2 linked regions of the Astyanax mexicanus genome follow. The protein of the gene in region 1 interacts with the protein of each later gene in a pairwise test. Links are inferred from orthologs where the notes say so. Each region holds a gene or a part of one and is shown on either strand. Other genes may lie near its edges. The genes, in order: cass4 and cdc42ep2.

What was found.
Region 2: the proteins of cass4 (region 1) and cdc42ep2 interact in binary tests that used the Homo sapiens proteins (3 or more experiments, as listed by UniProt). The link is inferred for Astyanax mexicanus from reciprocal best matches to the Homo sapiens genes CASS4 and CDC42EP2.

The regions. Positions count from the first base shown.
Region 1 is NC_064431.1:32,794,857-32,810,341, forward strand, and holds the start of cass4 (cas scaffolding protein family member 4), read left to right. Parts: upstream 1-8,113; 5' UTR 8,114-8,341; coding exon 8,342-8,347; intron 8,348-15,485. Other genes in the region: cstf1 (cleavage stimulation factor subunit 1), read left to right, coding at 117-507, 1,425-1,684. UniProt on the Homo sapiens protein: Docking protein that plays a role in tyrosine kinase-based signaling related to cell adhesion and cell spreading. Regulates PTK2/FAK1 activity, focal adhesion integrity, and cell spreading.
Region 2 is NC_064408.1:32,549,452-32,565,925, forward strand, and holds the start of cdc42ep2 (cdc42 effector protein 2), read left to right. Parts: upstream 1-8,993; 5' UTR 8,994-9,307; intron 9,308-16,474. UniProt on the Homo sapiens protein: Probably involved in the organization of the actin cytoskeleton. May act downstream of CDC42 to induce actin filament assembly leading to cell shape changes. Induces pseudopodia formation in fibroblasts in a CDC42-dependent manner.

The sequences.
Region 1 (15,485 bases):
CACTGCACAACCTTCCTGCGTTTCCTTCAGGAAATGCATATTTTAGTTATTTTGTATTTTTTTTTTGTGTTTTAATTGTTTATGGGATGTTTTTTTTTTTTTTTTTTCCTCCACAGGAAGCGGAGATGCTGCGCTCCATCTCCTTCCACCCGTCTGGAGACTTCCTGCTGGTGGGGACTCAGCACCCGACGCTGCGTCTGTACGACGTCAACACCTTCCAGTGCTTCGTATCCTGGAACCCGCTGGACCAGCACACAGACACCATCAGCGGCGTCAACTACAACCCCACCGCCAACAGCTACGTCACCTGCAGCAAGGACGGCAGCATCAAGCTGTGGGACGGCGTCTCCAACCGCTGCGTCACCACCTTCGAGAAAGCTCACGACGGAGCCGAGGTCTGCTCCGCCGTCTTCTCCAAAAACTCCAAATACATCCTGTCCAGCGGGAAGGACTCCGTAGCCAAGCTGTGGGAGATCTCCACCGGACGCACGCTCGTCAAATACACAGGTCAGAACCTTTATTATATACATACATATATTAAACTTACGTACACCGAAAGGTTCTCACACACACACACAGCTACACTTTATTTAGTTAATTTATTTCCTTTATTAAATCTCCCATTTAAACTCAGTACAATATTCTCAGTTTAAACGTCTGTATGTACAGCAGTAGAGATCCAGCCTGAGCAACATCAGGAACAGAGCATCTTCATACATGTATAAAAGAGTAGAAAAAATATGCAAATGATTAAAAATACAGAAGTATAATAATATAAAATGCAAAAAATATAATAAAAAAATGTGCATGCTGATCTCACACCTGCTCACTAATTCTCTCTCACCTGCTCTCTCACACTCTCCCTCGTTCTTGCTCTCTTCTGCTCTCTAACTCTCACACTCTCCCTCGTTCTTGCTCTCTCTCTTTCTGCTTTCTCTTACACACACTCTCTCCCTGTCTCACACGCACTCCAACACTTTTCCTCCTTCTAACTCGGACACTTTCGCTCTCTTACACACTCTCTAACTCTGTCTCTCACCTTTACCCTCTCACCTGTTCTCTAACTTTCTCTCTTTAACTCGCACAGTCTCCCTCATTCTCTTTTCTGCTCTAGCTCTCTAGCTCTTTAACTCACACACACACACACACTCCCTCTTTCTGTCTCCTGCTCTCTAAACACTCACCTGCTTTCTCTCTCGCGCTCTTGTCCACTTACTGGCTTTTATTTACCCGCCCTTTTTCTCACCTGTTTGCCAAAATGTGGGAAAAACCCCACTGGACAGACACTCAATAAATAAAAACATACCTGCTCTCCTGCACCCGCTCACCTGTACTCACTTTCTCTCTGGTCATTAGTTTAAGCTTGTTTAATTACTATGATAGTCTCTGTATTTACCTCTGTCCTGGTGTGTGTTGTACTGCAGGCGCGGGTCTGAGTGGGCGTCAGACGCACCGTACTCAGGGCGTGTTTAATCACACGGAGGATTATATCCTGCTGCCGGACGAGCGCACCGTCAGCCTGTGCTGCTGGGACTCTCGCACGGCCGAGCGCAAGAACCTGCTGAGCCTCGGACACAACAACATCGTCCGCTGCATCGTCCACTCACCCACCAACCCCGGCTTCATGACCTGCAGCGACGACTTCAGAGCCAGATTCTGGTACCGACGAACCACCACCGACTGAACCTGAGAGAGAGAGATGAAATGAGATGTGAACAACCTACCGAACCTGGGATCTGTGATGACCGGCCTTCACCACTAGAGGGCTCCATTTCACTATGAAGACTTTTACATACCAGTAAACTGTTTATGAACTGTTTCAATAGTTATTAACTAGGTTATAAATACTTTAAAACACATTAATAGAAAGGGAAATCACTGTTGCCCTTTCTGTGTTTGTGTTGTAACTGTATTAATGATTTTTAAAGTGTTTAAAACTAATTAATAACCATTAATTGAATCCTTTATTACATGGTATTACGTGTTTTTTTTTATTTTTTACAGACGATAGGGAAAAGACTGATGAATTCAGTACTAAGTTTAGTACTGGTGTTGTATAATTTGATCAGCTGGAAAAAAAGATCCTTTTCTTTTTCAGTTCATGTTGGAACACTTTGAGCCTTTTTTTTTTAAATAAAAGATTAAAAGAAAATTGGGTTGTTTTGTGTTTTACGATTTAAAAAAACAAACAAAAAAACTCATTTATTTAAATAATAATAGTGTGTACAATCAATCTGAGTTTACAGCTCAGCCTGAAGGACTAGAAGAAGAGCTTATTTTACACTGGATACAGAATTTAAACAGGTACATTGAATGTGTCTGTTGTAATTGGGTAAATAATGTTTTATAAATAAAATATTTTATATTTTAATTAAATTACAGTACAGAGTAACTAAAGCTACTATGATACAAGATAATGAATAACAAACGAAAATAAATGTCTTAAATGCAATTTAGCAAAAGTACTGGTAAATGTTTAGTACAAATACTGAAGAGTCCAGCACGTCTAAATACATGGCTACCAGTTAAGATAATATTGACAATTTTACATAGACATTAGACTTACCCAAAACGACGGCTTCATTTTCAAGACATTTTGGGGTCCAAGCTTTTCTGTATCCACTGGTTCAGTACAAAACAACAAAGAAAACAAACAAAAAAATAATTTAAATTAATTTAATTTGAACACAGTTGTGCAAGTTACAGTTTGGGACATCTAGTTCTGCATAGCGCCACCCTGAGGTAGGTAATACAGTCTGTAGAGATGTGCGTCCGGACGGGACTAAAATTACCGGAGGAGCACGGAGTTCAGAGAAAAACAGTAGATAATTCAGCCTGTAATTTATTTATCAGAGGACGTCTGAGAAAAACACGCACATGATCGTTCTGGACAGGAATAAAATCACAGAGGATAAAAATTACCCCAGAACCCCCTGAGAAACTAATCCCATCATACCATCACATCTCTAACATTTACCATTTAGCTGTGTGTTTTTTTTTTTTTTTTTTTTTTCAGAACGATTGTGCTGGTAGATGGTTTTTAAACAGAATATAAATACAGCTCTGTAAAAAAGCACTTAAAAAAAACTCTGGAATATAATCAAAACTGAACTGCTTTAATTTCTGCACCAGGAGTAAAGCAGCATAAAGTTATCCAAAAGCAGTGTGTAAGACTGGTGGAGGAGAACATGATGCCAAGATGCATGAAAACAAAAACTGTGATTAAAAACCAACCAGGATTATTCCACCAAATATTGATTATTTCTGAACTCTTAAAACTTTATGAATATGAACTTGTTTTCTTTGCATTATTTGAGGTCTGAAAGCTCTGCATCTTTTTTTTTGTTATTTCAGTCATTTCTCATTTTCTGTAAATAAATGCTCTAAATGAGAATATTTTTATTTGGAATTTAGGAGAAATGTTGTCTGTAGTTTATAGAATAAAACAACAATGTTCATTTTACTCAAACATAAACCTATAAATAGCAAAATCAGAGAAACTGATTCAGAAACTCAAGTGATCTCCATTTTTTTCAGAGCTGTATATATATATATATATATATATATATATATATAGCCTATACAGTATTAGAAAACTGAAGGAGAATAGATGACCTAGAACGGATGACCTAAAAACTGGGTGGTTTGAATTTCGGCAGAACAATTCTCGTTAAATATGTGCTGGTGGTTATTTATCTTGGTTTCCTGTTCCAGTCATTAGCTTGTAGCTGGTGGTGAACTCCGGCTGCTGGCCTGAGTGGAAATAATCTTTCTATAAAATAAATACCTTAGAAGTAGCTGAATGCATCAGTATATTAGTAAATTAGGACATGTGTAGGGGTGTGACAATATATCGATATTGTGATATCACATTGTGATACGTGGCTTCAATTATGGATGCTTTTATTAAAACATTAGCGTTATAAACTCTCTAAAGCTCCAACCAATTAGACTAAAACTTAAGTTGCTGCTTCTTTACTAAATAAATAAATACTAATAAATCCATAGTTGCTGGTATTTGATTATTTAGGAGTGTTTTACCCTCCTCAATAATGTAGATGCTGTGAAGTATCGTAGAGAACTGTATTTCGATAAATCGAGCATAGTGATGATGGGATATTGTCGTTATTGTGGGAAATGTATTGTGATAATGTTGTATTTCTATGATTCCCTTTCTTTATATGCAATTCCACTGTTTTATATCAGTTTTAGAAAGTCCAAGTTTTGGTTTTGCTATTTATAGGTTTATGTTTGAGTAAAATGAACATTGTTGTTTTATTCTATAAACTACAGACAACATTTCTCCCAAATTACAAATAAAAATATTCTCATTTAGAGCATTTATTTACAGAAAATGAGAAATGACTGAAATAACAAAAAAGATGCAGAACTTTCAGACCTCAAATAATGCAAAGAAAACAAGTTCATATTCATAAAGTTTTAAGAGTTCAGAAATAATCAATATTTGGTGGAATAAACCTGGTTGTTTTTTAATCACAGTTTTAATTTCATGCATCTTGGCATCATGTTCTCCTCCACCAGTCTTACACACTGCTTTTGGATAACTTTATGCTGCTTTACTCCTGGTGCAAAAATTCAAGCAGTTCAGTTTGGTGGTTTGATGGTTTGTGATCATCCATCTTCCTCTTGATTATATTCCAGAGGTTTTACATTTAATAAAATCAAAGAAACTCATCATTTTTAAGTGCTTTCTTATTTTATTTCCTTATTTTTTGTCATTTTAGAAGTAAACAAATGTTAGAATCTGATATGCAGAGTTTATATCAGACCTTAATTGAAAAAACAGCAGCCTGAGTGAAATTCCTTTTGGTGTCGTTTAACAGATGTGAATGTTTTTATTCCAGGAGAGAGCTGTCTGAGCGTCAGTAAACCAAAAAATCTCCAGACTGGTCACTTAATTCCTTATATTAAAACAAGGACAGAAATGTGGATTTCCACTGATAATGTTAATCCAAATTAATTCAAAATGTGTGAAATTATTTTATTAATTCATTACTCTGTAGGTAGAATAGAGTATAGATACTAGAGTTTAATAAAATACTTTTGTACGTTAAAAAAAGTATCAACTCAAGCTTTTAACTTTTACTTTTAAGTAAAAGTGTTTTAAAAAGTACTGGATTTAAACCTTATACTTAAAGTATAAAAGTAAAAGTAATGTAAGGAGAAAAAATAAAGTAATCAAGACTAAAACCTTTAAAAGCTTAGGCCACACCCACGGGTGTGATGGATCACAGTATAAACCAATAGGGAGTCAGAATGGTATGTGTTTATACTTCTCTACATCCAATCACAATCAGATTCACTCTATCTGGATGGAGAGATTTATCTGGATAGGGGGTTTATTAAACGATGAGAAGCCGGAATGAAAACGATCTGAATTAGGAACTAGGAGTAGCATGGCTGTTTGTTTTTAGAAGTAGAAGTAGTTTTATTTAAACTTTTACTCAAAAAGTAAAAAGCTTGAGTTGATACTTTTTTTAATTCTACAGAAGTATTTTATTAAATTCTAGTATCTATACTCTATTCACCCTACAGAGTAATGAATTTAGATACTTTTCACACCTTTGATTATGTTTCTCTTTATATAAATTAAATTTAAAGAGTATTTTAGTGAAATTCTTTGTGGAGTGATTGCAGCAGATGTGGAGCATCACTGATAGATTGATGGGAACTCTTTCTGGCTGGGTTTCGTTGGTGAATACCAGACCACGACTGCAGGATCTGCTCCAGTCTGTCCTCCAAAACTTCCCCCAAACCATAAACCCCATCCCCCGTCCCCCCGTCCCCGTCCACCGCTCTTTGTGTCGTCTAGACAACAAAGCAGAAACTCAGAAGAATCCAGGTCTTTAAAATAAGCTGTCAACAATAAATCAGCTCAGACGCTGGAGGGGATAGACTCAAACACACAATGGACGAGTCTGAAACTGTGCCTGTTCACTATATACTGTTCACTATACACTGTTCACTATATACCGTTCTCTATATACCGTTCACTATATACCGTTCACTATATACTGTTCACTATATACTGTTCTCTATATACCGTTCACTATATACTGTTCACTATATACCGTTCTCTATATACCGTTCACTATATACTGTTCACTATATACTGTTCTCTATATACCGTTCACTATACACTGTTCTCTATATACCGTTCACTATATACTGTTCTCTATATACCGTTCACTACATACTGTTCACTATATACTGTTCACTATATACTGTTCACTATATACTGTTCACTATATACTGTTCTCTATATACCGTTCACTATATACCGTTCACTATATACTGTTCTCTATATACCGTTCACTATATACTGTTCACTATATACTGTTCTCTATATACTGTTCTCTATATACCGTTCACTATATACCGTTCTCTATATACCGTTCTCTATATACTGTTCTCTATATACCGTTCACTATATACCGTTCTCTATATACCGTTCTCTATATACTGTTCTCTATATACCGTTCACTATATACTGTTCACTATATACTGTTCTCTATATACCGTTCACTATATACCGTTCTCTATATACCGTTCACTATATACCGTTCACTATATACTGTTCACTATATACTGTTCTCTATATACTGTTCTCTATATACCGTTCACTATATACCGTTCTCTATATACCGTTCTCTATATACTGTTCTCTATATACCGTTCACTATATACTGTTCACTATATACTGTTCTCTATATACCGTTCACTATATACCGTTCTCTATATACCGTTCTCTATATACTGTTCACTATATACCGTTCACTATATACCGTTCTCTATATACCGTTCACTATATACTGTTCTCTATATACTATTCACTATATACTATTCACTATATACTATTCACTATATACTATTCACTATATACTACTCACTATATACTATTCACTATATACTCTTCACTATACACCATTCACTATACACCGTTCACTATACACCGTTCACTATATACCGTTCACTATATACTGTTCACTATATACCGTTCACTATACACTATTCACTATATACTATTCACTATATTCACTACAAAAAAGGGGAGAGAGAATAGAAAAAAGACATAATATGGAACAACAAAGAAAGCAGAAGAGCTACGAGAAACATATTTACACTCCACTGTCAAGCAACACCTTAGCAACCACCTAGCAAAGCCATAGCAGCCACCACTGCAACACCTTAGCAACCACCTAACATACCTTAACAACACCATAGCAGCCACACTCGCATTTTCTGCAGGAACACCTAGCAGCACCTTAACCCCACAGCAGCCCCTATAAACACTACAGCAGCAACAAAGAAGCCACCTAGCAATATCTAGCAACACCTTAACAACACCATAGGAACCAACACTGATACCACAGCAACACCTTAGCAACCACCTAGCATAGCGTAATACCTCAGCAACCACCTGGCACCCCATAAATCGGCACTGCAGCCACACTCGCACTAGGTGCAGGAACACCTAGCAGCACCTTAACACCACAGCAGCCCCCTTATACACTACAGCAACAACACAGCAGCCACCTAGCAACATCTAAGCAACCATCACAGACACCATATCGACACCTTAGCAACCACCTAGCAACACCTTGACAGCCACCATAGCAGTTACCACTGACACCACAGCAACACCATAGGAGCCACCTAGCAACACTTGCAATACCTTAGCAACCACTTCACACCCCAAAAATCAGCACTGCAGCCACACTCGCACACCACTCTAGTTTTTATTTACTTTTACTTTTGTCCCAAAAATTGTGTGTCTAACTGTGTGTGTGTGTGTGTCTAAATATGTGTGTGTGTGTGTCTAAATGTGTGTGTGTGTGTGTGTGTGTGTGTGTGCAAAATAAAGCATTAACTGTAATGAATAGAAGTAGCATCACACCGGAAACAATTAAAGGAAAGAGTGATATCAGTGGGCAGCACACACTCACCCACTACTGAACACTGCTGCATTTCTCAGAAGAAAAAGAGGAGGCGGGTGAAGACAGAGGGGCGGGGACAGCTGTGGACAGGCGCTGTGATTGGCTGAGGGTCCGAGGCAGACTGAACTACCAGCAGAGTCTTCCCTCATTCACTCACTGCTGTAGAAAGTGTGTGAAGAGATTGAGAGATTGAGAGAGAGAGAGAGAGGGAGGAGTGTGAACTGTTGGATTAATAGTGTTAAAAGTGATATAAAAGTGAAGGAGAGATCAGAGGTGTAGAATCAGAGAGGAAGAAGGTTTCTGCTGTAGAGCTCTGAGATCTACTGCAGCTCTAAATGGAGATTTAACTGGATTAAACTGCAGACCAGTGATCGGAGACGGAGATGGAGGTAAGCACTGATCAATACTATCAATACTATCAGATCATCTACATACAGCTCTGAAAAATAAGAGAACACCTAAAAATGATGAGTTTCTTTGATTTTACCAAATTGAAAACCTCTGGAATATAATCAAGAGGAAGATGGATGATCACAAACCATCAAACCACCAAACTGAACTGCTTGAATTTTTGCACCAGGAGTAAAGCAGCATAAAGTTATCCAAAAGCAGTGTGTAAGACTGGTGGAGGAGAACATGATGCCAAGATGCATAAAATTAAAACTGTGATTAAAAACCAAACAGGATTATTCCACCAAATATTGATTTCTGAACTCTTAAAACTTTATGAATATGAACTTGTTTTGAAGCTCTGCATCTTTTTTGTTATTTCATTTTTGTTAATTCAGCTTGATTTCAGATGTGTGCACCTTTTTGATTTTTGCTTATGAATGGAATGTATAATTATTAATATATTTTTATCTATATAAACAGTCAAATATAATTTGCTGCAGATAATTTACATACCGAATATAAAATAAAAATATAAAGTATTTTATCAACACACACACGCACATTGCTAACTTGCATTTGCTTTATATATTGTCTCAAAAGTTTACGAGAAATTGACCAATAGAAACGCTCTACATTATGTGGCATACATTTTTTCACATTCCATTTATTTAGTTAAGATTTTATGTCTCTCCTGTAAAGTTGTTGTTTTGGATGATGCTGGAATAATGGTTAAATCAGCACAATTGCATTAACTTTTACTCTAGTGATTGGTATAAATTATTATTGATTAGTGACTATTTTTAGTCATTATTGTTTTGTGATTTTTTTTTATATCACAATACATACATTGCACAACAATATTCCAATATCGTACAGCCCTAATAGTGATAAACACAGAAAAAACAAACAAACACATGAAGCATCAGCAGAGTTTAGTAACTTGGTGTTTGGTTAACCAGAAGTGTGGGGTCCCTCTGGGCTCTATCTTAGGGCCTCTGAAACTGCTGTATCGGTTATTAATGTATAGTGTGAGAGAAGTGTGTGGATTACAGGGTTTAAGCGTGAGTTAACATCATTAAAACTAACATTAATTACCAAAGTAACAGTATCAAACACTGCTGAAAAACTTTAGTAAGGAATCATGTAGTAACTTAAAAGTGTTAAACACTCTGTGAAGAGTTTAGTTTTTTATTCTTTCCTGGAGCGGTCCTGATGAGTGCCAGTTTCCTCATTATAAAGTTTTTGATGGTCTTTGCGGTGACTGCACTTAAGGATGCTTTCAAAGTTCTTAAAATTGACTTTATATATTAACCTGGATTCGAACATTACTCAAATATTCACTATTCACTGTATACCTGTAACTCTACCTCTTCACTACTTTACTTTAACTGATGCTCTCAAACACTTTATTAAGAGACAAGAAATTCAAGTAATTAACTCTTGATGAGTTCAGCACAGCTGTTAACTGAAAGCCTGAACTCCAGGAGATTCTACCTCCTGTTTTGATCTGGGTCAAACTGACCTGTTTTAAAATGTATAGATCTAGGAAAAATAGTTAAAATGATTTTTTTTCAGTATGAAAATGGTTCATCTTACATTTTTGCAACCACCCCTTGCAAAAACTAAAACTAAAACTAAAACACAAAATTGCAATGTTATTTTTTAATATTAAATAAAACTACTGTATTTTATATACGTTGGTGTTTCAAAAGTAGTGAAACATTAAGAAAAGTTTGGACATTAGTATTTTTTTTTTTATGAAAAACGAGTGAATTATCCTAATTGAAGCATTATTACCTGTAATTAAACATAAACCAGGATTAATCAAATTACAGGAGGGTTAACACATTTTTGTTTTTTAATTCTATATATTTTTGTTCATAGTTTGAAGAAGTTTAGTATTATTAATCTACAATGAAGAACATTTTTAAATAATTAAAATACAACAGTGAATTTTAAGGCGTGTCCAAACTAATAGTGAGTTAATAGTGATCAGCACTCTTTATGAGGGTCACTTTCTTTCTTTTTCTTTTTTTCTTTTCTTTTTTTTTTGCGTGTGGACCTCCAGCTGCTGGGATATCAGTCTAAAGGCTGGTGTCAGCTCACCATCCTATTTTTTCATGCACCCCATGACCTCCTTTCAACCCCCCCACCCCCAACCCTGAAGCCCTGCTTAGAGCTGCAGTGTCTGCTGTGAAATACGATACTGAGAGAGAGAGAGAGAGAGAGAGAGAGAGAGAGAGAGAGAGAGAGAGAGAAGGGGACTTTATTGGTGTCGTTAACTTGTTGCTTTCCTCCAGGAATCCCTGGAATTAAGTCGAGTAGAAAAGACGTAAACCAGCGTACAGACGGGCTTCTGGGTAAAGTGTTGAAAGACCTCGTATCTCCCTGAATCCGCGCTGCTACACTGTCGTCAGCTGAACTCAACACTCAACACCACAGCTATTCTAAGACTCCTCGAAGCAGAAGTGGCCTCTGTGTAGTTTTTTTTTTTGTGATATCGGTTGCAAAAGTAATAAATGCAGAAGTGCAGAGGATTTAAAAGTAGAGTCTTAAAACAGACCCTTTAAAAACATTTTTAACCTGTGTGAATACACAAGTTAGAATACTGTAGGTCTGTCTTCTATACAAAACATGTTTTGTTTTATACCAGTTTCAGTCTCTTTCAGAGTGTGCTGTTTAAGGGCTCTGTCACTTTTATGCAAATAAGCTGTTACTTAGTGGCATTAGTTTTAGCTTGTGCTAAATGGGAAAACAAAAACAAGCTAGTTCATGCTACAGGCAGTAGGTACAGATCCCTCCCTCAGAAGAAGTCTCTGCTGACTAATCCTGCTGTGTACTGAGGTTCTCAACAAGCAGACACAAATTATGCATATATTGGTGTAATTTTCACAGAATTGAACCTTATTAATTTGATTATAGCCTTACCATGTAGAGTATTAAAGCAGTAATTTTAGTAAATGTAATTAGAAGGCGAGTCATAGGGATTTTAGAGCGCGTATCTTTCAATAAAAATGTCCATATTTTATGCCACATGTTGATAAAGTATTGCAAAACAAAGCAGCTAGAGAGAGTACAATTGGACATGTTGTTTCTCCATCAGCAGCCGGACTCTGAGAGAGTACAGTTCAGTAGGTCATGCTGTTTCTCAATCAACATTTAATATAGATAAATAAAATACGTATGTAAAAAGGATATAAAATTGAATATTCTAAAAAGATCATAATCAAAATTGACACACAGGTGAAGAAAGTAAATAATTTATAAAATATAAAATGAGTAACAGAAAATAATAAAAAAGTAAAAGTAGAGTAAAATGATAAGAATGATAAGAAATGATAAAATTAATAATAATGAATTAAGGAATTAAATTGAAAACATAAGAATAAAAAAAGACTTATTTAAAACATTTAATCACATACTTTCTGATGGTGCCTAGAAACTAAATTAACTACATTTTAATTAGTCAGTGCATCAGCAGCCGGAGTCCGAGAGAAGTATAGGGGGAGTGATGGGAGAGTACAGTACTAATGAGTGGGTGGGAAAATTAGCTTTGCAAATCGAGAAGAAAATGGGATGAAATTTGAATTAAATTTAAAATAAAATTAAAATTTAAATTTAAATTTAAAATTAAAATTAAAAGAAATAAAAGAAAGGAAAGTATAAAGCAGCTTTAAATAGGCACAGATCTATAATGCAGAGTTTTGCTGAACGTTTCTGTTGGTTTTTGGATGATGGGTGACTCAGTCAGGGCAGATGATTTGTGTCTGTGGAGGTTCCTGGATGGACGTGAGCGTCTGCAGATGTCCCCGTCCCCGTCCCCATCCCTGTGTCTCTCTCAGCCCGGTGTCCAGCCTGCAGGATGCTGGCTACAGCTGGACGGGCTGAGAGCAGCAGGAAACGGGGAGGAATCTGAGGGACGTTTCACTATGAACAGCTGGATCTGAGGCGAGAGATAAATGAGACGAGAGATCGGCTGTGTTTACACTACAGAACCAGATCAAATTAATCGCTTCCCGTCTTTACTGGATCTGGGTCACGGCTTTAAACAAGCCTTCAGCAGGTGCATCGTGGGATAGCGGTCAAAGAATGTGAAGTAGGGCTGCAACTAATGATTATTTTGGTAGTCGACTAATCTGGCGATTATTTTTCCGATTAGTCGATTAGTTACTGATTATTTCTGCAATGCCCTCAATCATGCCCGAGCAAGATGTACTTTTCCCGTCGTTATGACAGCAAAGACGCGCAGACACTGGCAAGAATGTAGCCGACAGAGATCTCTCACCATAAATCTGTCTTTTGAAAAGATTTAGGACCGTATTTTAGAAATCTTTAGGCGAGCACTCAACCGTGCACAATCTTTGCTGTCATAACGACGGGAAAAGTACACCTTGCGCGTCTCGAAATGCACAAATTACATGTGCTAGTTCCCTTAATTAATCAATCATAGATGTGTTTTGGGCATAACATGAATTAAACCAATCAGAGTGTCATTTGCTCTTCATTCTCTTAAGAGCCAGGTGTGCTCTGACTTTGGTGGATTGCTATTTCAATGGCGCAGCACAATTAAATAGTAGATAAGCAAACAATGTTATGTGAATTGTTTAATTCTGAGTAATGGTTTCTCTGAGAACTTATTGGACTTAAAAATCGCAGCAACACATAATCTATAGTAGGACTGCAACGATTAGTCGATATAATCGACAATGCCGATTATTTAAATTTGACTACTATAAATTTAATTGTCGACTAATCGTTAAACACTTAACTTAAAGTTTACACTTAGTTTGTGTCTCTTAACGTGCCCAAACACAACAGATACATATTTAACCACTAAATATCAGTATTTTCCATGTTTAAACAACATCCAGACATTTGAATGCCTTTTAAATCTCATGTTCAGCTGTTTCTATCATTTTTAGAGCTAGAGGACAAGAATAATAATCATCAGATTAGTCGACTAACAGAGTAATCATTATTTGCAGCCCTAGTCTTAAAGTACTAAACATCACCTTTAATGCTTTAATTCTTATTTAAATTCTTTTTTTGAGTGGTCGCTCTGCACTGTAGTTCAAAAAGCATCCAAAAAAACACTCAACCCAACAGAGGTTTCAATTTAAATGTGGGTTTTAAGGCCCTCTGAATGTGCGAATGACCTAATTCCCCAACACCCACCTACTCTACGGCCTCTACGAGCACTCGACATGTGGTTTATCGTGTGTACGGTACTTTTTTTTTCAATCCTAGCCCCCTTTGAGTCACCCATCTCTAATAGAAACTTCTGTACAGCAGAGGGAAGTAGCTGAAGTTGGTGAGAAAAGTTGTGAGGCTGTATTTCAAGGCCTGTTGCTCAACTGGTTTATTGCGAGCAGTGCCCACAGATACGTTATTTTGTAGTACTCGTTGTTAGGCATAACGCAATGTTGGCTGAAATACAGTCTGACTTAAGGAAACTAAAGAAATGTATATATAGTTAGTATATAGTACATTACTTTAAAGCGATAAGTGACTTCAGCTAAAAAAAAAAAAAGATCTACAGTTACAGTAGATACAGAATCACCAGCACTGTAATCTGTTGTACCCATAATGCTCTGTAATTAATCTACAGTTACAGTAGATACAGAATCACCAGCACTGTAATCTGTTGTACCCATACTGCTCTGTAATTAATCTACAGTTACAGTAGATACAGAATCACCAGCACTGTAATCTGTTGTACCCGTACTGCTCTGTAATTAATCTACAGTTACAGTAGATACAGAATCACCAGCACTGTAATCTGTTGTACCCATACTGCTCTGTAATTAATCTACAGTTACAGTAGATACAAAATCACCAGCACTGTAATCTGTTGTACCCATACTGCTCTGTAATTAATCTACAGTTACAGTAGATACAGAATCACCAGCACTGTAATCTAGCCCAGAAACTGGGGCTTTCAGCAGATATAACAGCAGAAATACAGTATCTACTGTAATATGAATGTACTCAGCGAATAATAAATGAATAAATGAGAGATTATGAGTGATGTAGCTTAATAATCTGTAAAAAGCAGAACTTCTTTTAGTTCCTCTTCAACATCTGGCATTCACTCAACTCCTACACCCACCCGGGATCATCTTCCTCCATCGGAAGCTGAACGAAGGCGACAGAGTGCGTGTCATTCGGAAAAACTACATGACTAATAGGGCATGACCTCAACCCAACATCCAACATCCACATTTTCTTACTGAACATCAGTAACGGCCTTCAGTCTTCTCAGAAGACTTTCCTTCACTCTTCTGGAGAAGATAGTAGACTTAGAAACATGACAGTAGGTAGTGCTGCTTCTCCATCAGCAGCTGGAGTCAGAGAGAGAGAGAGAGAGAAAGAGAGAGAGAGGGAGTACAGTAGGTAGTGCTGCTTCTCCATCAGCAGCCGGAGTCTGAGAGAGAGAGAGAGAGAGTACAGTAGATCATGCTGTTTTTCCATCAGCAGCCGGAGTCTGAGAGAGAGAGAGAGAGAGAGAGAGAGAGAGAGAGTACAGTAAGTCATGCTGCTTCTCCATCAGCAGCCGGAGTCTGAGAGAGAGAGAGAGAGAGAGAGAGAGAGAGAGTACAGTAAGTCATGCTGCTTCTCCATTAGCTAAACAGAGAATGTTTGAGGAAATTTAGTCCGGGATGGGCTGTGTTTTAAAGCCGTATTCCACGGCTCTGGTGTGGGAGTATTTTGGGAGTATTTTGGCTTTAAGCCAAATGAGCGAGGAGAACCATCAACGCGAATCAGCTGGTATGTTTACAAGGTTTCACAACAGTGGAAACAAAAGCTGGCAATACTACTAACCTGAGATCTTATTTAAAACACAACCATCCAGCCCCATTCATGCAGCTGAATATTAAATATAAAACTGTTCCACCAGAGAGATCCTGCCTTAAGCCTCCACACAGTAAACATGCTGCTGTTTCTTGTTCAGAATTTGTCTGCCAGTTACATTAAAAAATACATTTATAGCAGGATCAATGTGGCCTGCTGAGCTATATGTGCATAAATATATATATATGATCAGAAAAAGGAATCTGCAAGTGCCCATGTGTTCTGATTAAAAAAAAAAATGAATGTAAATGTTACTTTAATCTATTTGTTGTTACTTTATTT
Region 2 (16,474 bases), on another chromosome or scaffold:
TCAAATAATGCAAAGGGAACAAGTTTATATTCATATTCAAGTTTTAAGAGTTCAGAAATCAATATGTGGTGGATTAAACCTGGTTTTTAATAAGAGTTTTCATGCATCTCGGCTTGTTCTCCTCCACCAGTCTTACACACTGCTTTTGGATAACTTTATACCACTCCTGGTGCAAAAATCCAAGCAGTTCGGTTTGGTTTGATGGCTTGTGATCATTCATCTTCCTCTTGATTATATTCCATAGGTTTTCAATTTGATAAAATTGAAAGAAACTCATTATTTTTAAGTGTCTCTTATTGTTTTACTAGAGCTGGATGTTAGAAACACAGGATCAGCATGTATGATCCCATTTTACTAGTCTCTTCTAAAACACTATTATAGTGATCCGCAACGTTGATAAAACACCAGAAATTACCTCTAAAGCCTATTCCAAACACCAAAACAATAATAATAGTGAACAGAAAAACAGCCCATAATCTCTGTTCCTAACCCTGGAAGCATAGGAGAACACAATTAAAAAGAACAGAAAACACATGATCACTAGGTCCTACATTAGGGAATCAAGGGCAATATATACCTAATATCTACTGCACATAGCACAATGTAGAATTAAGTAGGAATTTAGAGAACAGGAGTTGACACCAATTTAGTTACATAAGACAAGTGTTTCTCAATCCTGGTCCTGGCGACCCCCTTTAGTGCTTTTCCTGATAAATAAGTTCATTACAAGCCATTTCAGACGTTTTGAATGTTTGGTGCGTGTGCGTGTAAAGTGATACTCTGAGGGTCCTTGGAGCACATCTGGAATGTGATGTCTGTCTAAAGGCTTCATTATGATTATGAAGGTGTTGCTTGTATGCCCTACCGATGGCCTTCAATGCAAATCTGGCTCATTGCCACTAGGGCCAGAGACAATGGTATTAAAATCCCACCTTCGCTTTGAACAAGGCAAACCCGTCTCTGGTCTTATCATGAGTTCTTTGTCATTCGACATCAGCAGTTATCACCAATGAGGATAACAAATGTTCTCTGGGTGATTAGAGCCAATGGTTTCACACTCATTACAGCTCCAATATACAACAAATTCAGCCTCATTACTTATATTGAAATCCAATGAATAAAGATGCTAAGATGGGCCAAATAAATAGAGCTTAAATACAGAAATAAAATAGAATATTCAAAATAACAGTAAGATACAGATGTTCTAATAGCCAAGTGAAGTTTGTTGCCTAAAGTTTGCTTCAATTTTTTTTCTCGAGCTACAATGCTAATGTGGCTAATAGCAAATAAATTACCACCAACAACAGCAACAACCACAAAAACACTTGATGTCTAATAAATGGTCACACACTTGTCTCAAGCTATGTCACACTGTACATCACCAAATTTCAGATACTTCCCTATGTGGTTTCTGACACTGTTGACTACATTGTGTGAGCTAAACATGCTGCACAGCTAACTAGCAATATTGTAGGCTATGTTTAAAGAAACCAGTGTGTCATACATGGGCACAAACAAATAAGCAATAATCTTTTTAGGATCACTTTAAACAGCTGTGTGGTGAAAAAGATTCGAACAGTGCTAACAGTATGGTGGTGGCTACACAGTAGCTTACGTAGCTTGTTAGCTGCATTTGCCTTAGAGCTGCAGTACAAAACTTTAACTAATTGACTGCTTTAATAGATTTAACTGGTTTTTGAACATTTAGAGAACTTGCAGTATCTGGATTGTATCTCAGTAAGACTTTAACAACATACATGTACATTGTTTTGTAAAATGCATCTTCATTCACTCTGCTGTGAGTTGATGAAAATTCACAACAATTATTGCTGGTGTTTTTTCATTGTCAAATGCCGTTGTTGTCTTAGAGAGATGTAAGTGTTTACACTGTTATAACATGTGACTCAAATTAATCTCCTTTTGATTTGTATCTGTTTTAAATGTGTTTTAGGTGCGTTTACACTTGCATTTTTATGTGGATTGGCCTAATCCAAAAATGATCCTGAAAACTAAGATGCATGAGTCTGTAAACAGAGTCTAAAATAATTTTGTACATAGCTGAAATAATTATGAAAAGCTTATAATGTGGGTCATACAGGTACATTTTTGTCATTCATGCCCTTAAATTGACCTTGGTCCAAAATCCCTGCCGCACTGTAAAAGTTAACTATGTAAATAATTTGTAAAAAAACTTTTATCTTGAGGATAGGGAGCCTGTTTTTCTACTGTTATGCAACCTATTTTTCCTTACTAAAAAGTGCACACAATGAAACCATGTATATCTCTGGAAAAAAAGATGATGGGTGATCACAAGCCATCAAAACAAGCTGAACTGCTTTTGCACTAGGAGTGACATAAGGTTATCCAAAAGCAGTGTGTAAGACTGGTGGAGGAAAACATGCCAAGATGCATGAAAACTGTGATTAAAAAACAGGGTTATTCCACCAAATATTGATTTTAGATCCCTTAAATCTTTACGAATATGAACTTGTTTTCTTTGCATTATTTGAGGTCTGAAAGCTCTGCGTATTTTGTCATTTCAGCCATTTCTCATTTTCTGCAAATAAATGCTCTAAATGACAATGTTTTTATTTGAAATTTTGGAGAAATGTTGACAATAGTTTGTAAAAAAAAAAAAAAAAAAAAAAAATGTTCATTTCACTCAAACATATAAATAGCAAAATCAGAGAAACTGATTCAGAAACTGAAGTGGTCTCTTCATTTTTTCCAGAGCTGTATGTGGTTCGCCTGCAGAAATCCTAACCTTTTATGGTGACCTCTTGTCTTAACAATTTTGATTAGGAGAATGGAGCATCACTGCAGGGTAAATCTGCAAAATTTCACACAAACTAAAATGAAAAAAGAATATTACATAAACAAATTTATAAAAATAGTACTGAGTTTGCCATTGCAGTATGTGCACCTATCTGCTGGCATGTTTATGTCACCAACCAAACAATATCTGGATCAGTTGTGGTTCACTATTGCAGCAACAGTTGTGCTACACTAACTAGAACCCTACAAAGTACAAATAAATAGTTCTTATAGAATCTTATTTCTGGCAAAATGGCCAATGCACATTGGAACACACAAAAAAGTGAGAATTGTGAATATTGTATAATGTCCTTATTGAGAGAAAGACATAATTCTTCAATATGAGGCTGTATATGGCCTTCCAGAAGTAACAGAAGCTTCAGCCCGCAAACGAAAGCTCCTTGAATTTGGCAACTAGCCACAGAAAATGCCTGACCAGTCAAATGCCAGTGACTGGTCAGCTGAAAACATTCTAAAACAAATAGCAGCAGACGCCACACTGTGGGGATTCTCCAGTTAGGGGGAAGATATTTACTGGTTTGAGGTCAGTCCTAATAGTAGTGTGGTCAATTCTGTGCGTGTATGTTGATGTTATATAGGATTTATATAGGATTTGTTTGCTGGTTATACTGTATACAATCATATGCAAAAGTGTAGACATCACTGGACAGATCTTAAAATTTCTTATTGTAAAATAATAGGGAGAAGACACAATGTATTTTTGCAAAATAGGTTCTTAATTTCAGAGTTTATAGGGAAGGGGAGTCTGGGAAGTTTTAATAGTAACATCTTAAATGAATCACTAATGCCGCAAATGAATTGAGTAGAATACTGAATTATATCAGCACTGACTGCTGTTAATGGTTTACTGTAGAAGCCTCCATGTGTGTGTAATAGTTTAGGTATGACTATGAGTCAGCGTGTATTTGCCGGTGAACGCCTTTCACTGGAGCTTTCAGGAAGCAGCACTGTGGAATGGAGAGGATAAATCCTGCACTGGGGTGCAGAGCTGCAGGGTAGACAAATGGAACTTTTATTGCTCTGTTATTGAGATAAATATCTATTATTTTAAGATATGGGATTTAAGTGCAAATATATAGGCTGTACGTGAGCCTCTCCGCATGTATCTGTGAAAGGAAATAGCTTAGTATTGTTTCAGCAAAAGGTTTAGATCTACATAAGAAATCTCATTAGATTAGATTCTACATAGTACAAGGCAATTAAGTGCGTAGTAGGTCATCAACATCCGGATTAATACCACAGTGTTAGGTCGGTCTATAACCATACTTATAGACCCACAATTCCACGCTTGGAGTTATTAGTATTACTGTTGTTGTGCCAGATTCCTATATTTCTAGCAGTGGCTGTGCTCCAAAGCCTAGGCTGCAGCCTCAGTGGGGCGGGTCTTCAATGGGATTGTCCTTTTTATATATATATATATATATATATATATATATATATATATATATATATAGAGAGAGAGAGAGAGAGAGAGAATTTTATTTCTAATTTGTTCCCATTTTCTCCCCAATTTACACAGCCAATTATCCAACCCACTCATTAGGACTACCAGGAGGGTGTAGACTAACACATCAGCTCACAGATGCCCTGTGCTGTGGACATCACCCTAGGAGTGATGTGGGGAGAGAGTGCCATCTATCCACCCGGAAAAAGCAATTGTGCTCCATCTGAGAGCCAGCAGCTTGATGGGGGTTCGAACTTGCGACCTCCCGCTCATAGTGGCAGTGCTTTAGACTGCTGGACCACTCGGCCCCCACAAAATAAAAGTTTAATAAGGCTGCGTAGTGATGTCATCAGAAAGCTCCTGCATCTTGCAACTGCTACACAAAACTTATCAGTGCATTTGTGGGAGTGATTGAAGCTTACTGCATTGCGCCTTTTACTTGTTAATTTCTTTACGCATTATAAAAAACTACAATTTTTAAATGAACTCTTCTTTGGAGACTTGTGGCCATGAAAAATACACCAAATCACCAAAATACACCAAATACATATTCCCTGGATGGATACATCAGTATGTTCAGAAAGTTCTCACTTATAGAATATAGGCTGCATTTCTAGCCTGTATATAAAGGCGTTATAGCCTGTATCATATTGTAATAACCTTCACTCAGGTCAGCAGCCCACCTTTGCTGCAGGCTTTGGGATGCAGCTACTCTGTTAGAACATCGCCACAGTGTTGTACTGTGGGGTATACTGTATATTTAGCAGTGATTGCAATCACAAGAATTAGCATTTTAAAAGTTTTCACAAATGTCTGCTATTAGTATGTAAACTGATTTTGTGTTCCTCACTGATGATGAGGACACCCACACCAGCAGCATAAATGTTCATGGTTGCAAATTGTGTATATGTAAAGTCAAATTAAAAAGTTGCCTTAAACAGGTCTAGGCTGAGCAGCTCAGGAATCTACTAACATACTTGTTCTCCACTAACTAAAATTAAGCACTGTTGTGTAATAATATGCACTTCTAAAAAATACAGTATTAAATTAATGACAAAAAGCAGTACTACAGATTTTTGCATTCTTGCATCTATTATACTAGTAACCTACTGACTGCTAACACATAGGATAAGATAAAATAAGATAAGAGAAGAAATATAAGATAATGTTATGGGTTTTTTAAATATACAAACAATATATATATACTATAACTACATGAAAATAAATACAGTAATCAGGAACCTTCTATACACCTGAGTGCATTTATTTTGATGTTGTGATCCTTTTTTTTTTTGCTGTAACTCATGGCCACATCACCACAATACTGTTTGTGATGACTAACATGTGAATCCAAATGGCAACCAAGTCCATTTAAATAGATAGGAAAGATGTTTCATTAATTCAGTCATTCAGACACAGCCTATATGAGTGTTAGTTTCAGTTTGCTTTCTCCACAGGCTAATTTAGGAGTGTGAAATTCCAGCTATAGAGGCCCACAGCAGTGCAGAGTTTAGCATTCAGATAAAGCATTCATCAAGTCCAACATCTGCTAATTACCTAACCAGCCCTGCACCCCATGCATTCACACATTCAGATAATTGCATGTTTTAATAAATTATGTCCATACACAGATGATTATGTGACTTAGCATGCTAGAGACATCAACACATCCCAAAGAATAAATAAAAAACAGAGATTTCATTCTAAATTACACATTACCTCGCATTATATGTCTGTAAAATTAAAGTATTTACAAAAGTATTTAATCTATGAAAACCCATGAAAATGTGTAGTTTACTATACATATAGTGTGATTTAAAAAGCATCATGTATGTGTTGTCACTATTTTTATGAAGTTTTACCCGCCACACGAAAATGCTGAAAACATATATATTTTTAAAATTTCCACATTGGAGAGAAATTCAGTGATCAAAAATAGCACCTTCACGTAAATCAGAGGTCTAAACCTCCTGTTTTTAAAAATAGAAAAACAGTGTTCATTATGTTAGACGAAGGAAAATGATAAACTCCACAGAGCTTTAGCCTTCCAGCGCAGTTAGCATGTCAGCCACCAACAGTCTCTGAGTGGAGCCCCCCTGCACTACACACTGTTATGTTTTCCTATTCAAACACACCCAATTTGACTTAGGAAAAACTCTGTAATGGGCTAATGTGTTAAATGAAGTGTGCTGGAGCAGAAAATCTTTCCAGATTGTTCAAATTAGCCTCCCACTGTCAGATATGAGCAGCATCTGGTTACCCAGTTACATGTACTCACTTACTAAATGTTTCAATGGCAGTCAACAAAACAGTAATTGGCTAATGGGCAGTTAGTGTAGCGCTTAGCTTCCTCTTGTCTTTGTTCTCAGCACACCTGAAAGGCACTCCAGCATGAGAGCCTGTAAACACTGGCTTATCTAAATCTTTGTTTGTCCCATTTCTCTGAAATCCTGTCCGGCGGAAATCAGAGGGAAAACTGTTCCGAGACTCTGTTTTCCGAAAGAGCATGTTTGAGTGTGTGAGCGTCTGAGAGAGTCACTAAAAGCTGTTTACTCTTTATATAGTGGACCACACACTAGGTCATTGAAGAGCCCATAACTTACATTTAGCTTGAGATTAACTTTTTTTAATGACATGGTCTAATGCACACTTTTGGTTTAAAATGAAGTAAGCTGTTATGTTGATGCACATGCTGGGTGAGATACAATGTGCCTATGCTGGCTGCTTATGTGATTACAGACCAAGGCTTTGCAGTATTATGCTGGGGTCAACCTAAAGGTTCAGAACCCTGCTGTAAAAAAAATTCACTTCAAGGAGGTTAAAAAACTGGTAATCTAGGCAAAACATACTCTATGCTGGTAAGTAAGATGGTTAAGCAGATCTTTACCGGCATTGAATGAAGCATTTGTTTGTAATCATGCTTAGTTTTGCGGTTCCTGCTGATCCTGCTAATCCTGCTGGTTTTAGATTGACATTTACCTTTACATTTATGGCATTTATCCAAAACATCTAAAACATGCTCATGTCATTTATTCAGAACAATCAGAGCAAGTATTGATGGAAAACAAATTCTAGACACTTTGAGCTGTGATTGTAACAGTAAATAAGCCACATAATAACACTGTTAAGCCACATAATAACACAAATTGTTAGTGATACTGAATGTAGCCATGAAGATCATATTGTATATTGTACATAGCAATGAACATGTTTTAGAATATATGCTATTCTGTCAACTCAAGAGATAAACTGGGCCAAAATAACTTCATAACTATTTAACATTTTACAGCCAATCAGAATAAGTGCTGTTTCATTGTTGCAACAACACATTTTTACATGCAACTATAGAGGTTGCTAAGGTGGGCGGGAAAGAGCGTCATAGAAGTACATCAGAGAAATCGTTTGGTAAGTGATGACAACATAGCATATTTCCCTCATCACTAACAAGAGTGAAGAAGCAGTAATAAGTAAGCCTACAAACAAAGCAGAATGTTTCCCATCAATGTTTTAGCTGCTCTTTCAAATAAAAATAATGCCAATTCAGAAAGGAACCTACTAATGTTTTCATACTTCCAAAACAATTTTACTTTTTCACATTTTCTAAACAAATAATTGTTTGAGACCCATGCAAATATCATTGGTAATATATAAAATATATATTTTTTAGACCTCATTTGCCAAAAAGTGTGGCATTTTAGCAAACTCAACCCTTTTTAAAAATTTTGATTTCTCTTAGTTTCAATGTGTGGTGTTTATATGGTATCCTAACCCATACATACTGAGTAGTGGTTTATTCTATATTCTTGTACCTTTGTATATATCTATTTTGTATATCGTTTGTACATTTTCTGACACTTCTGTTCTGTCCTCTAAGTTACAAAACTGTAATAATGTAAAAAAAAGTGAATGCTGTTTGATTATTACAGGATTATCTTACCTTATCACTACCACTGTAAGAAACCTCTATAATAATCGATTTCACACCAAACTACTCTGAATGACTGAAAAATGTGTGAAATTCATTACATTCTAATAATAGGCTTTACTGTATGTATTTAGAACTACTTGTGAGAGAGAATGAGAGAGAGAGAGAGATTAAGAAAGAGGGAAGTGGGTGAGAGATAGAGAGAGAGGAAGAGAGAGGGAAGGGGGAGAGAGAGAAGGGTGAGAGGGAGGAGAGAGAAGGGCGAGAGAGAGAAAAGGGTGAATGAGGAAAGAGAGGGAAGGGGGAGAGAGATAGAGAGAGAGAGAATGGTGAGAGGCACAGAGAGAGAAGGGGGAGAGAGAGAGAGAGAGAGAGAGAGAAGGGTGAGAGAGGGAGAGAAGGGTGAGAGGGAAAGGGTGAGTAAGAGAGAGAGAAGGGTGTGAGAGAGAGGAGAGAGAGAAGGGTGAGAGAGAAAAGGGTCAGAGACAGAGAGAGAAGGGTGAGAGGGAGAGAAGGGTGAGAGAGAGAGAGGAGAGAGAGATAAAAGGATGAGAGAGAAAAGGGTGATTGAGAAGAAGAAGAGGAGAGAGAGAAAAGGGTGAAAGAGAGGAGAGAGAGAGTGAAAGAGTGGAGATTGAGAGTGGGACAGAGAGAGAGAGAGAAGGTTGAGAGAGAGAGAGTGAGAGAGAGAGAGAGAAAGTGCTCTGGAGGGCGTTTCTGGTTTCACAGTATCAGCAAACAGAGCTCAGTGTATCGGATGAAGAGGTTATTTCCGTGAAGCGGGAGAGAGAGTACTGACGGTGCAGACACGGTGGGGGTCGTTCAGGGGGTATTCTGGCTTTTTTAGCCATGAAACGAGTCGGAGATGCTCGGGCTCCCCTCGCAGACCCGCGGTTACTCAACCACGCCCCCCGAGGGCGGAGTCACGGGGCCAGGCTGAGTAACCACGAGCTCGCGCTGCACTGAGTCAGTTCATGACTGGAGAGCACCTGGAGACAGGAGGCTTTCCCTGCCTGTTCAGTACAAGGACTTATTTCTCTCTTCAGGGAGGACGAACACCTCTATAAAAAGGATTTAAACTGAGTGAGAAACTGAACTTAAAGGTAAGCTCAAAAAATAAAAACACAGCACTTATATTTGGCTTCAATTTAACTGGTGGGTTTAACTGTGGGTTTCTGTTTGTGGGACCAATTTCACATCTTAGTTTAAAAGAATATAGACAAATCGTTTTTTTTTTTAAGAAAAATTAGCATAGCTGATTTGATTAAAAATTGGTTTTAAATGTATTATCAATACTTCAAAAATGTAGTGAAAATACTGAATTTTACTGTGTTAGCTATGTAAAAGTAGTTAAAACACATTAAACAGTTAAAAAAATTAACATATTTTTTTCTGTGGTAAAATGCGTGTTAAAAATGAGTATTTAGAAAAACAGTTAGCCAAAGTAAAACTAAATTAAATACATTCAGACAAGTAGTTCTGTTTGTCTGAGAGATATTGAGCCAGCTCTATAAAAAAAGGTTTAAAAGCTTTAAATGCCTGTCCGTGTTAATCGCAGTTTGTGGAAAAAAACTGTGAGGAATATTAAAATAGAGAATCTTCTGTTTACCTCAGAAAGTAGACCAGCGGTAACTAACTGTGTTGCAAAGCTGTGTGGATAAAAGCCTATAACAATAACAGCCCATAATATCGAATAGCATATCTATTGAACACTTTAACCCAAGCGGTTTACCGCATTCACCCATTATTTGAACCGCATTAAAATCACGTGGTAACTCTGTTTGGCGTCTGTTTGCGGGTGTGCTGACCGTTGAATAGAGAACAGCTTTAGTTAGCTTTTTGTTTCGAGAACAGGCTTTTACTGAGCTCCCATTGGCAGCAAACACCTGCTTTAGAGAGCATTAACTCCCAGTGTGCTGGACATACAGCTCTGGAAAAAAATAAGAGACCACTTAAAAATGATGAGCTTCTTTGATTTTCCCAAATTGAAAACCTCTGGAATATAATCAAGAGGAAGATGGATGATCACAAGCCATTGAACCAAGCTAAACTGCTTGAATTCATGCATCAGGAGTGCACCAAAAGCAGTATGTAAGAGTGGTGGAGGAGAACATGCCAAGATGCATGAAAACTGTGATTAACAATCATGGTTATTCCACCAAATATTGGTTCCTGAACTCTTAAAACTTTAATGAATTTGAACTTGTTTTCACAATGTTAATTTTACTCAAACATAAACCTATAAATAGCAACATCATAGAAACTGATTCAGAAACTGAATTGTTCTCTTATTTTTTCCAGAGCTGTATAGCTTAAAGTTGCAGTTTGAAGATACGAATAATAAAGTTGTAATAAGGTGGTTATTATTTAAAAAATTTTTTTCTCTATTTAACTAAAACTGCTGTTTGACAGTTATAGTCTACAGTTTTCTGTAAGTGAATTGTGTCCTTCAGTGTGAAATGTAGTATGTTTTTGTAATTTCCGTTTTAACTACCTTGGAAAAACTGCACTGTTGTTTTCTTGTAGTTGGGTGGAGGCTCGTTGTGTTTGATTGATGATAAATGTGCAGGAAATTAGATGTGGAGAGGGATTATGACAGATATCCACTGTGTTGTGCATTTCCTCTCCCCAAGCTGCCTTTAAAGGCCAGTGTAGACCCCTGCTTACGTAATGGTTCTCTGAAATCATTAGGACATTACCAGGGATTTTTCCCACCTTTTCTGCAGGAACAGCCTCTGCTCCTTTGGAAAGGTTGTACAGTGGAACTTTGCTATGATAATTTGATTGCATTCAGCTAAGCTTTAATGGCTGAAACCAAGCATTGGATAGCATGGTATAAAGCCTCTCCAGTTTTGCACTGTGAAGCAGTGAAACTGTGATCTCTTGAGCTCCATCCAATACTTTTGAGATGAGTTGGAGAACTGCAAAACTAATTATCTAACATCAGTACTGATTGGTCACCTCATCTCAGAAGAGTTTGACAGATTGCCACCACTTGCACAAGTGTACAATTTAGTTCCACTTGCTAAGTACACTTGTAGACTTGTACGTGTCTAGCCAATCCTTGGCTTAAGGTGTGGTAAACATTTTGGTTTAGAAGAACCTTTCTTTTAAAGCTATTGTACAAGCTGTGTTTATGCAGTTGAATTCATGAAGATACAACATACGTACAGTCTGGCCCAAAAAAAAGGTCAAACACTCTAATATTTTGTTGGGCTGCCTTTATCTTTAATTGCGTCACATGGTTCTGCAATGTCACAAGTTTTAGTGTTGCATTCATTTTTTACTTAGATCTTACACTGATGATTATAGAGTCTGACCACTGCACAAAGCCTTCTCCAGCACATCCCAAAGATTCTCAATGAGGTTAAGATCTGGACTCTGTGACTGGACCCTGAACCACTCTTTCACAATTCCAGCCCCATGAATCTTTGTCATCAGGGAAAGAGAAATCCATTGATGGAATAACCTGGTCTATATTCAGTATATTCAGGTAGTCAGCTGACCTTATTCTTTCAGCACATACTGTTGCTGAACCTAGACCTGACCAACTGCAGCATCAACCCCACATCATTTACTTACTTAAATCCAGGTGGCCACTTTTGTTTTGGCCAGGCAGTGTATAAACATAGTCTTTACTTTTAAATCTGATTGGAATAAAGCAACTTGGATGGTTGTGGCCTAAATTGATCTAAGTGCTTTTAAACATATACATAATATGTGTTTATTTATTAACATACATTCATTTATCCACAGCCAAATGGCATCTGTGTGTGTGTAATATGCAAATATGCAAATATTTTGACTTATTTTGTCTCAGTTCTATATTGTTATCGTCATGATCTTAACTAAAGAGCCATTGGAGACCCTTTTTAAAAGTCGGACGTAAATTAAATTGTTTTTTATAGGATGATGTATCCACCTCCTTATACGCTAATATACACTCTCTGTTCCCTTTTCAAAGCCTGCGTGATAGTGTGTTCTCTACATTATCTAAGAAGTAGCACTGGCTTACTAAGTGTTTGGCTCGTCCACTTTGGCAGCACTTTTGTTTGCTGCCCTTTCCTCACTGATAAAACTCAGGAGCCTCGATTAAATAACCTTTCCACATTGTGCACTGCTACAGGATTTATTTTTCCACACTGACAGAAATGAAGCATTGGATTTACTCAATTCAAATGTTAAACAATTACTGACCATGCAAAGTAATCTGAAAGACAGCATTGTATAGATTTAATATGTTTTATTTAAGTTCAGTGTGTCATTGTTTTCAGTGTGGCACTACTAGGCAACATGTCGTCTCGGCTAGACTAGACTATCTGATGTTAGCATCATTTATTGCCTGTTTAGGCTATGAGAATTGCATCATTATGATTCAGCTGTTCTAAACACAGATAGCGTGTGATAAGGAGTATGAGTATGCTCTTCAGAATGGCCTTTTCTCAACTGATATGACGTGTAGGCCCTTATGTCAGGTCCACACATGACATCACTGATTCAAACACCCGATCCCAGGATTAGGAGCAGTGTCACGGTCTTGTTTTGATAAGATAGAGAGATAGCAAGGTTTCCTTAAACCAAGCCAGTCTGTGAGTAGTTCTTTTTGTAGCAATTAGGAGGTCCAAGCAGCTTTTGATGTTAAAGATGCTGAATTAACACCTGGCCAATTCTGGCCTTTTGAGCATCCAGATTATATCTGTATAAGGTCAAGCCACATACATTGACATATATTGATCATAAAATGTTACCTTCATAAGTTGTGAGGTGTTATCTTGTGAGTGAGGTTGAACCCTGGCCAGCTTACTCAAGGCAAGGTGACGCGAGTTATCGAAGCTCAAGCATGGCTTTAAGCAAGGTTTTATTTTGTTGTTAAATGTGTCTTGGAAGGACTGAAGTGTTTACACCGCTGTAACATGTGATATCTTGTGAATGGTATTTTACACGTGTGTGGTCTAGAAAGAAAAAAATAACCCCCTAAAACAACACAAATAGCCTTTAAACAAATGCATACAGCATGCTGAAACTGATCAGTATCATATCTCACCCTGCTGTGCATGAAATCAGTGGATATACAGGTTCTACACTGCTGATTAGCCTGCACTCTAACCTTGACACACACACACACACACACACACACAGACATTCCACTTCATTGTCTATGGTTACAAAAAGGCTTAGCAATACAGAACCTCTTTGTGGCACAAGGAACGGAAAGTTAATTTGTTAATAAAACTTTTTACACAAAGGACAAAAAGCACAGTCATGAATTTGCAGTGATTTGTAACGAGGCCAGCGTTGTTTCTCTACCATTACTTCTTTCTTTCCCTTGTTTTTCTCTCTGTTTATCCGTTGTCCATTATTGTCTCTGTTCAGTGAGTCAGCACACTGCAGCCCCTCTCTCCCTAGACAATGTCATTCTATCATTGTCTCACACTCACACATACACACAAACACACACAAAATTGCATGCACACAAACTGTAGTCAGTGTGGCTCTGTACCATCAGGGAAAGGCATCTGTCAGCACACGCATATACAGTACTGCGGCAGTTAAACCACAATTAGACAGTTAGGACAACGTATTGTAATCTGCCTCACACACACAAAGACACACACAGGCACAACATTATATTCACCACAACTCTAGCATCATCAAGCCTAACCTCTGAGACAATATTGCTACCAGTGCATCTCCTTAAAAACTGCAGAAGCAGAACTTTCCTCTATCCTGTATGTGTGTGTGTGTACATGTGTGTGTTTAATCTGCAGGATTTTGACTGCAGCAAAGCCCTCACCTCAGCAGTCCCACTAAAACTATTGTTGTGCTTCTTCCTGCGTAAGGCTAATGTTAGTGTTTCCCAGTAGAAATTATGACTTTTAAACTGCTATTTGTAAATGCTATCCCACACCAGGTAATTTATCTTAAATATCTAGATTATACCTACCGGTATATAAGGCATATACACTGATAGTAATGGGTTAGCGGTGTGTAGATTGACCATGAAGTGTTACCTTAGGTAAAGTTTTACCTTAGGTAACTGTATAAGTTTTGGAGAGTCACTTTGTGAGTGAGGTTGAACACTGTCCAGCTTACTCATAGAAATGTGGCAAATTATCGTGCATTTACATGCACTTTATAATCCAGTTTTAAAAGGATATCTGCAGTTATCTGCATATTATTATCACACTAATAAAATACTGTGATTTGTTTTATCTTAGTGAGATCTAGAAATCCGATAATACAAATTGTATTGTATGTTCTTGGATTTCTCAGTCTGTACATGTGTGAACTGTGTGACTGCGGTACTGCGGTACTGGAAATAAGCTTTACAACATATTTAAGTTCACGTAAATGCATTGATCAGATAGCTAACAAACTCTGATGTTCTGCAATCATCTGATTATGAGGTGAATGTAAGTGTACGCAATCATTTTTTTATCAAAATATGTAGCATTTCCTCTAGTTGTGCTGTTGTTAAGAATCTTTAAGCACTAGTTATATTCTTACTGTGCTTATAAAAATATATTAATACAATAAAAAAAATCACAGTTTAATAAAGTCATATTGTCTAGTACTAGTAGAAAAACACACATTCTTTTGGTTTTAGCTGTTCATGTTTGTGCCTGTGTGTGTTTGAGTGTGCGTATGTGTGTGTGTGGGTGAGAAAGAAAGGCTGTAGCATTTAGAAGCAGTCATGCTTGTTGGCATTGAAGAAAACCTTGCACACACATGTGTTAGCAAACACACACACACACACACACACTCACACATTCCCATTCACTGTCATGGTTGGTGTAACCTGAGATGCATGACTTAAGGCCAGAGGAATGTAAGTCATACTCTTTCACCACAGTGTGCTCTTGCAACATACACACACACACACACACACACACACACACACATAGAGGCGTCCACACATGTTCAATATATAGACACATCCTGACACGCAACACACGCAACCCATTATAACATCAATCATTCAACATACCACACACATGCACATGCACTCAAACATCCTCATGTCTGCAGACAACATGGCATTAATACAATAATCAAGATGATTATTGTGACATTCTTTCGATGCACAATATATCAGAATATTTCTTTTTCTTTTTCTATATTGCCCAGCACTTGTTTGACACATTTTTTGTGATGAAATGTAGTTGATAAATGACATTTACGAAAAAGCCAGAAAAGAATATTGGAACCTTTCCCAATATGATAAATATTGTCATATCACCCAGCTAAAAATACAGTATACAGTACAATTAGTAACGTTCTCAAAAATGCTCATCAATCTTTTCCAGTTATACTAATCAATAAATATTTTTATACAGTGTGACAGCAACTCTTAGTCTCATTAGTTTCAGTAATGGAAAAAATTTATTGCTGGCTTTTACCCAACTCTGTTGCCATTATAGCAACTAAAGGTTTTGGACTGAGAATGAAAAGGGTGTAAAGATTTTAACACCATTGGAAAACACCACCAAACAACATGTTCTACATTGCATAAACATTTCCTACCAACAGAAAAATATTCTATTATCAAAACATATGATGTTTATATGTTTACATTCCATTTAGCCTTGGGGTAAAATGATAGCTAAAGGATAGTGATAGTTTGAGTCTAGAGAGTTTACTTGAAATACCATGGAACAGGATGTTTATTGTATGCATTTTTTACTCTGTTTAGGTAATAGATTAGTTAATAGTGTTTTCTCTTTGGTTTAGTATGTTTTCACACAGGGAAAATCTAGGTGCAGCAAAATGTTCTTTGTTTATTATTAGTCAGACTTATACCACCTGGGGCAAGAAAGTAAATACAAAAGGAATGTCCTCTTTTCTAAACTAGTTCATATATCTGTACAATTTAACAACAGTGATGGTATTTGTTCATGGTTGTAATAATTATCACATTCTCACCTTTCCAGAGTATTCACACCTTCCTAAATATATCACACCAAGGGTAAAAAAAACAAACCAAAGTCCTGTTTAACCACACAAAAGTACAGGTGTGATATGGTACTTTCTATTGAATTCTCTGAATAGCAGGAAATTCACATTTAGATTACCATATTAAAACAACACATGCACATTTTGCATTTCAATACACTACCTGATGTCTGGAGAACCATATGGCTCCTTTTGTTTCTTTTTACCACAAAAGAAAGAAAACTCAGACAGAACTGTGAACGATGGTAACGACAGAGCGAGAGAAAACAGCATAATGGTCCAATTGAGTGAATTAATCAGGTGGTAGTTGATAGATT